Linked DNA regions of Nothobranchius furzeri. The protein of the gene in region 1 binds, or shares a complex with, the protein of each later gene. Links are inferred from orthologs where the notes say so. Each region holds a gene or a part of one and is shown on either strand. Other genes may lie near its edges. The genes, in order: seh1l and mios.

What was found.
Region 2: the proteins of seh1l (region 1) and mios are in contact, whole or in part, in a cryo-EM structure (PDB 7UHY), measured with the Homo sapiens proteins. The link is inferred for Nothobranchius furzeri from reciprocal best matches to the Homo sapiens genes SEH1L and MIOS. Residues at the interface, in NP_112493.2 of Homo sapiens: Met1, Phe2, Val3, Ala4, Arg5, Ser6, Ile7, Ala9, His11, Lys12, Asp13, Leu14, Ile15, His16, Asp17, Val18, Phe20, Phe22, His23, Gly24, Arg25, Met27, Trp47, Ser173, Ser174, Ser175, Asn230, Leu231, Gly232, Arg233; in NP_001357005.1 of Homo sapiens: Arg279, Arg316, Ser317, Phe353, Glu354, Arg355, Ile356, Ser357, Leu358, Ala359, Trp360, Pro362, Leu366, Met367, Trp368, Ala369, Cys370, Gly371, Arg372, Leu374, Tyr375, Glu376, Cys377, Thr378, Glu379, Glu380, Glu387, Asp389, Ile390, Ala391.

What each region holds. Positions count from the first base shown.
Region 1 is NC_091745.1:49,023,581-49,027,498, forward strand, and holds the start of seh1l (nucleoporin SEH1), read right to left. Parts: upstream 2,913-3,918; 5' UTR 2,833-2,912; coding exon 2,722-2,832; intron 2,365-2,721; coding exon 2,314-2,364; intron 428-2,313; coding exon 281-427; intron 194-280; coding exon 1-193. UniProt on the Homo sapiens protein: Component of the Nup107-160 subcomplex of the nuclear pore complex (NPC). The Nup107-160 subcomplex is required for the assembly of a functional NPC.
Region 2 is NC_091745.1:63,836,746-63,840,663, reverse strand, and holds the start of mios (GATOR2 complex protein MIOS), read right to left. Parts: upstream 2,537-3,918; 5' UTR 2,445-2,536; intron 1,455-2,444; 5' UTR 1,407-1,454; coding exon 588-1,406; intron 497-587; coding exon 7-496; intron 1-6. Other genes in the region: col28a1b (collagen, type XXVIII, alpha 1b), read left to right, coding at 3,318-3,480. UniProt on the Homo sapiens protein: As a component of the GATOR2 complex, functions as an activator of the amino acid-sensing branch of the mTORC1 signaling pathway. The GATOR2 complex indirectly activates mTORC1 through the inhibition of the GATOR1 subcomplex.

The DNA.
Region 1 (3,918 bases):
TACAGCTGCAGCTGAGCTTGCATGAGATCTCGTGCTGCAGAGACCACTGGCTCAGGTTCATCACGTCAGGAGCCTCGTAGATCCTCACCACTCCATCAGCAGAGCAGGTGGCCAGCATCAGACCCATGTGTTTAGGAGCAAACTTCACATCAGTTACAGATGTTCTGCTGTCCACCAGTGTTGTTCTCTTTATCTGAATCAGAGCACCAGAAACACGGGTCAGGACTCGAGACAGGCAAACCTATGAAAACATTAATGACTGAGCTGTGGCTGTACAAACCCAGTGGCTCAGGCCTCTCTGTTTGTCATTGGACTCCCCTACGATCTCCTCCCAGACAGCAGCTGTTCTGTCGAAGGAGCAGGAGGCCAGGACCTGCCCAAACTCTGGATGGGCCCAGGTTACTCTCCACACTGATCCACTGTGGGTCTGCACACACATCATTACATCATGGATAAGTCCAAAATACACAAATATACACTCACCAGTCACTTCATAGGTACATCTGCTACCTCTGGGGTCAATCTTTCGTAAACATGGCCTATCATTCCATCTGTATGCTGACGATTGCCAGATTTACTCTCCATTGTGTCAGGAGAAAGGTCACTTTATTCAGTCCTTTGTCTCCTGTGTTAATGAGGTGAAGTCTTGGCTAATGTCCAACTATCTACATCTGAATGAGGGAAAGACAGAGCTCATTGTTTTTCACCCCAACAGCAGGAATGTGGATCGTTATGCTGATCTTGGCCCTCTTTCTCCATACTCAAAACCAGTTGTTACCAGTTTGGGGGTGAAACTTGATGTAGGACTTAAATTTGATGCTCACATCAATTCTGTGATCCGGTCCAGTTTCTTTCACCTGAGACGCCTTGCTAAAATCAAGCATATGCTGTCAAGAGCCCACCTGGAGCGGGTACTGCATGCCTTTCTAATTTCTTGGCTTGACTACTGCAACTCTCTATATGCAGGGTTGTATCAGTCAACACTGCATCGCCTACAGGTTGTGCAGAACAGCGCTGCCAGGTTCCTGACTGGGACCAGGAAACGGGACCACATCAGTCCAGTTCTGGCCTCCCTGCACTGGCTTCCGATTTCCTATCGCTCACAATTCAAAATACTCGTCTTTGTTTATCATTTCTTCCAGGGTGGTGCTCCCCCCTATCTAGCCACACTCCTGAAAAGACACTCCCCATCACGCGCTCTGCGCTCCTCTGACCAAGGCCTGCTCGCTGTCCCTCGGTCTAGGTGTCGTACCCGTGGGGACCGAGCTTTCTCAGTCCTAGCACCGTTACTCTGGAACCAGTTGCCACCCTCAGTTAGGCTGTCCCCTTCTCTGCCAGTCTTTAAGAATCACCTAAAAACACACCTCCTCCGCTTGGCATTTCCAGAACATGTTTGATTTTGGCACTCTTTTATGTTGAATCCATTCCACAGTTTTCATTGGTACACTCAATCCATCCACTCAATCCAAATGTGTTTCACACATTTGTATTTTACCGGAATGTTTCATCTATCTTGTAATTTCCATTTTGTATTTTGTAATTTGTATTTTGTAATTTGAATTTCTTTTATTGTTGATTTATTCAATATAATTACTTACAACTGTACCATGTTCAGCGCTTTGGGCTTCCTGACAGGGTTGCGGAAGGCGCTTTATAAATAAAGCTTTGATTGATTGAAAGCTTTGATTGATTGACCTATTCTACAGCTTTGCACATTTCCACTCAGCCAATCGCATGACGGGCGGCACTGTCCATTTAGGCATCTAGACATGATGAAGGCTACTTGCTGAAGTTGAAACTGAGCATCAGAATGTGGAGGAAAAGACATTTCCATGGTTTGAATGTTGTATAGAATAGAAGAAGAGAAGCTGAAGAGTTTGACCATGTCCAGCCCTTTATGACCACATAGACCCATCTTCTGATGCTACTTCCAGCAGCACCATGTCACATAGCTCAGATCATCTCTAACTAGTTTCTAGAACTGGACTCTAATGGCCTCCACAGTCAACAGATCTCAGTCCAGCCCAGAACCTTTGGGATGTGGTGGAACTGGAGCTTCTCATCATGGTTGGAGCCGATGCTGTCATGTCAGGTTGGACCAGAGCCTCTGAGGACCACTTTAACTTCTTGTTGGCTCTTTGAGATGAAGGATTAAGGTGGTTCTAAAGAGGTCTAAAAGAGGTCCAACCCGGATCTATTGGCAAACTTGATAGTGCCCGTGAGTGTAGAGCAATAGTAAATCTGTTGAAACAGCAAAGATTACCCAGGAAGGGCTTTTACGGTCATGTAAACAAACGTAAGCAGGTTGTTTACCTTCCAGCTGGCTGTGCAGTGCCACTCTCCATTCTCACTTTTGTCCCAAACCTGTCAGGAAGTCACAATAAACAGCTGCTGTTACGTCATCTCCACACATTAATTTTAAACTGACAACACACGAAATGAGTTCCTATGGTTCCTACCTAAAACACAACACTCGCTGCCTTACGTGATTGAAGCTTTTACTGATACGTTCATATTCCAGTCAAACGTCTGCACACATTAGCCTGCATGCTACAATGTAAGTACAGTAACATGCAATACTTTAAATTAGTTTATAGTTTTAAAACAAATTTTGTCTAATTTAGCTAATAAGCGCATAATGTGCCAGCACACAACACGAGTGTGTTCAGTAAGAAGCTAGGAACGTGGGTGACGCTAACATGCTAGCTTGAGTCAGCTCACCTTCACACTCTGGTCGCTGGAGCATGTTGCCATTCTCCGGCCGTGAAAATCGTAAGAGACATCGTGGATCAGATCTTTATGGTCCGCAGCGATACTCCGAGCTACGAACATGGTTAGAAGAAAAACAACAGCGAGATTAGCTGCACTGCACTGGTTAGCACAAGCTCCCGCCTGTCACGTGACAGAGAGAAAGAGAGAGAGAGAGAGAGAGAGAGAGAGAGAGAGAGAGAGAGAGAGAGAGAGAGAGAGAGAGAGAGAGAGAGAGAGAGAGAGAGAGAGAGAGAGAGAGAGAGAGAGAGAGAGAGAGGTTTTTGAACAGTGAACCACATTGGGGGGGGGGGTGCTTCAATTCAAACAGGGTTGCCAAGTTTGGCGAATTTACTGCATTTTAGATACAAATGAGATGTTCATGGTACACTTAAGCATAAGTCACTCACTTCTTAGGGTTCTACAACCCCCTTCAAAGCACTTTACAATACAACCAGTTATTCACACACACACACACACACACACACACACACACACACACACACACACACACACACACACACACACACACACACACACACACACACACAAACACACACACACACACACACACACACACACACACACACACACACACACACAATGAGCCCCAGGGCAACTGTAGCTACGATGTAGCTCATCACCACCAGCACCAGCATGTTAATGTTTATGCATTGGGGAATTACACTTTGGTTTTGTTAAGAAGGGAAGGGGAGATGACCGTGTTTAACCTGTAACATAAATACAGTTATTATTGCATTTTTAGCTAAACAATAAGAGAATGAGTTCCCCTCATGAGTTGCTATGGCCACAAATGCTGTAGCATTTCATTTAATTAAAGAGCAAGTCACACTACAAGAAACTTACTACACTCCCACTTCATGTTTGAAAAATGCAACGAATGCGTTTGCCTGGCTGACCGAGAGGGCGGAGCCGTTAACAAACACACACAAACAGGTTCACAACGGCATTGTGACATCATAATGTACCAGCTGACTTCAAAGGGTACCTCTTAGCCAACAGTGATGGCAGATTTAAATTCAAATGTAGTGCAGAGTTTTTACCTGAAGGGGGCGCAACACTGACAGTTTTAGGCTGCATATTTAAATTATAAGATGCACTAAAGTGCCAAATTATTGACTACACACATCTATAGAGCTCCGGACCCCA
Region 2 (3,918 bases), about 15 Mb from region 1:
GGATATAGGACAGATCGTACCACAAGGACTTGAGCTGGGGGTCATTCCCTCCAGCCAGCAGGTGGTTTCTCCACACCTGCAGAGTGTCGTGTCCGTACCTGGACTGAGCTCGCTCCCTCATCTTAGTGGCGATGTCTTTCTCAACGGTGCTCTCCGCTCCTTCGGCCGAATCCTCGGCGCAGTCGTATAAGTGTCTCCCACACGCCCACATGAGTGATGTGGTGGAGCTCCAGGCCAGAGAGATGCGCTCGAACACGGTGAAATCAGTCATGACTCGGTTGGTCGCGGACACCACCACCATGCGGTTCTGAGAGGAGGGGTGCCAGGCAAAGCTGCCAATCTGGCTTTCACATGGCTGCACGCTCCGCTCGATGATGGTGGGCTCTGTTTCATCCCCGATGGGCGTAGGAGTGTGTTGCATGTCGTACAGGCGGATGACGTTGCTGTCACGCGTGAGCGTGGCCAGAAGGCCGGTACGAGTTGGACACCATGCCACCTGAGAATGGAAACAGCAAAACACAGCTACAGTCTAAAGAATGAAGCATTAAATAAATGTCTCTTTAAAACAGGAAAAGGCTCCTTCATACCTTGGTAAGAGGTTTAGACTGCTCTGTAAGTGTGAGCACAGGCTTCTCAAATTTTCTCAAGTCCCAGATAGCCACCTGCCCCTCAAAGAAGGAGGCTACACGGTCGTGGAAGTGTGGGTCAACTGTCACGCCCTGGATGGCCTTGGTGTTGACAAACATCTTCTGGCTGGTGTTTCTCAGGTCAAATATTGCAAGGTTCCTGTGCATACCAGCCAAGAGCAGCTTGGGGTCTCGAAACAACCAGCACAGAGACAAACAAGCATCGTTTTGGCCAAGCTCATACAATGGCTTAGTCACTACCATGCTTGAATCCAAATCCACAGTTGAGATACGGATTTTCTCAGCTGCTACGCTGGTCTCTGGGGCGAACTTACTGCTAATATCCCAAATAAGAACAGAGAAGTCGGCCCTGTGCTTGTCCAGCCCTGCAGCCAGTAAGTTGTTGTCCACAGGGTTCCAGGCTAAAGTGTTGCATTGTCGCGCATGTTTGGGCACAAACTCTTTCCCCACTAGCTCTTTACATGTAGAGTTGTGGCTCTGGCCCAAACTGGTGAGCACAACTCTGCCATTAGCTTGTCCCACTGCAAGTAAACACTCAGGCTCGTGCTTCGGGTACCAGGCCACACATTTCATATAAGGGGTGTCAGAGTTTATAGCCAATAAAGTAGCAGCAGTTTCTTCGGAGAGTGGCAGAGTGCCAGGCTTTGTTTCTGTGCCACCCACAGGCCCAATGCGATACAGTCCTAGTTCAGAGTCGCAGATGACGTAGCGGTCCGGGTGGTGAGGAGACCACAGGATGTCCGGCTTTGAGCCACTCATGATTCAGAAGGAGCAAAATGAGCTTCAACACAGTCTGCTTTCAACAATCTGGAAATATGACAGAAGACATGGGAGACTGTGAATCAGACAGCAGTGGGTAGATGTCATCTCACAGCAGGCAATTGTGTAATAGTAAAAATAATGCAGTGCAGCATGATGCAGTTCTGGTCTACATGAGATGGTGTATGTATTTCTGCTGGAGGGGGACAGATGTCAAAATGACTAAAGACAGCTAATTATTCATGCATCAATTATTTTTTGACACAAAATGAGTTTAAATATTTTGTAAAATTTTTTACTACTGTAATATTTTACAACATCACATTTTATAATTTCAAAAGTTATCAAAATCTGGTTCAATAATATAGAACAAATGAGAAACGCGTTGATCCTTATATTTATTGTGACTTATAAACATAGCATGAAGTCAAAATGTTTCATGTTTGTTTGTCAGGGCTTCATTACCAAAGAACCAGATTTAGAATCATTGTTGAAGTTCTTCAATATAGTTTCACTCCAACACATTTTATTTTTAAAACCCTCTTTTTATTTCTTTGTGATTACTGGGATTCTAAGAAGATAGTGTTCACCCAGAAAGATAAAAACATACTGATCATGACCACAGATTATGATAAATTCGATTGCATTTGGAAGTCTTGAGACTTTTCCGCAGTAATCTCTCATAAAGTCAATCAATTAAGGTCAACGTGTGAAGAGTTAGCCGACATCTACTACTGAAACTTTGCAACTGATTTCAAACAGTTGAGTCACCCACGAGATGCTAACTAGCTAACAAGTTCTGATATCTAAATGAAGAAATCATTGTGGGCCCAAAGTTCAACCCATCTACTAAAATCCAAAAGTTGCACAAGCTCGTGAAAGAAAAGTACCAAATTTGCTTGTATGCTAGCTTACCTAAGCTAAGGCTAACGGGTGAAGGACGTGCTAAACAGGTTCTCCTTCACTAATTTACCCAGCAGTAAAAACGATTTCGCTACCAAGTGATAAAATTAACAAAAACAGTAAATTAGTACTTACATGTAGAACCTTTAAAAAGCCGACCGAGTTATGTTTTGATGCACACATGTCGTATACGGATGTTGTGTGCAACACCAAAATAATTCCGTACTGATTAAAGTGAAGAGAGTTCCGCAAGGTAACTTTCCCCGCAAGAGGGCGTGCAATGCGCAGGGAACGAATTGCCTCTTCTTCTTTTTTTTTTCAAACCAAATAATTATTTGTCTTATGGAAGGATTAAAACATTATAACAGATAGAGATTGTGTGACTTATTAAGGATTTTTATTTACTGAAAAACTTTGAAACTATTTTTAGATAAAGTAGATTAAGTTATTTGTTGAAATAATCTATTTTATTTATTAAATTATTTGTAACACTGCAAGGTAACCATTCCACATACAAATTAAAATATGTTGTTTGGATTAAGCATAGGATTTAGAAACTATACAATCATTATTATTGCTTTTGCAATCACCATTATAAAAAAATCACACAAAAAACTTTATTTACGTAGCCAATAATTACAGACAGGCTTCTAAAGGAATGACTCTTGCTCATTCATAGCTGAGGGAAGTCCTGGCGTTGAGCCACAGCGTATCAGCTCATCTCAGTCTGGGCTTAGTGACCCGATCCAAACGGGGCGCAGAACCTTTCTCCCACGGTCTGCATGGGCCACAGTAACTCATCACATCTGAATCAGGTAGAAGCTGATTTTTCATTTTACTTATTTAATGATGGTAAAAGTGTTTATTGCTGCACGATCATCATCATCATCATCATCATCATCTAAGGGGTTTGAAGTGTCACTAGGGCCCTGGGGAACCTGCCCAGATGCTGAAGCGGGATGTTTGTTTTGTATTTTCCATGCAGACCTTCCAAAGCCGGAGTTTGAGATGCTGCTGCTGGGAAGTCTGAGCAGAGGACTGGGGCTCTGGCTGCTGCTGTTAGCTCTGATTCATGAAGCCACCGGGCAGAGGAGGAAATCATCATGGAGGAAAAACTACACACCGCGTGATGATGGAAACGAAGTTCTCAGCGTTAGCCGCAGGAATACTGGTGAGAATCTTTCACTGGATCAGGATTGAGGAAACGGGATTTGACTGAACGACAAGATAAAATGATTTAGTTTCTCATTCCCTGACTAAACTGAAATGGTGAATACTGTGTGTTGTTGACCGCATGACTAATGTGTGTACTACAGTGAATAGCCCCGACCCATCGGGGGAGTCAATAGCAAAACATTTTTGCAGCAAATCTTTGATGTCCTGTTAGCCGTGAGACCAGGCGTCAGCGGGTCAGACGTGTTGTTTTAGCTCATCCCTCTGAGGCCAAAGGGATAGAAAAGAATTAAAACTGCGGTCCCTCCATCTGAACTTCTGACAGCCTGAAAGAAATGCTGCCCTTTGTCACACCTTTATATGATGTATTCAAGTGCAAGTAAGTAAGTAAGTAAGTAAGTCAAACTTTATTCATATAGCACTTTTCACAGATAAA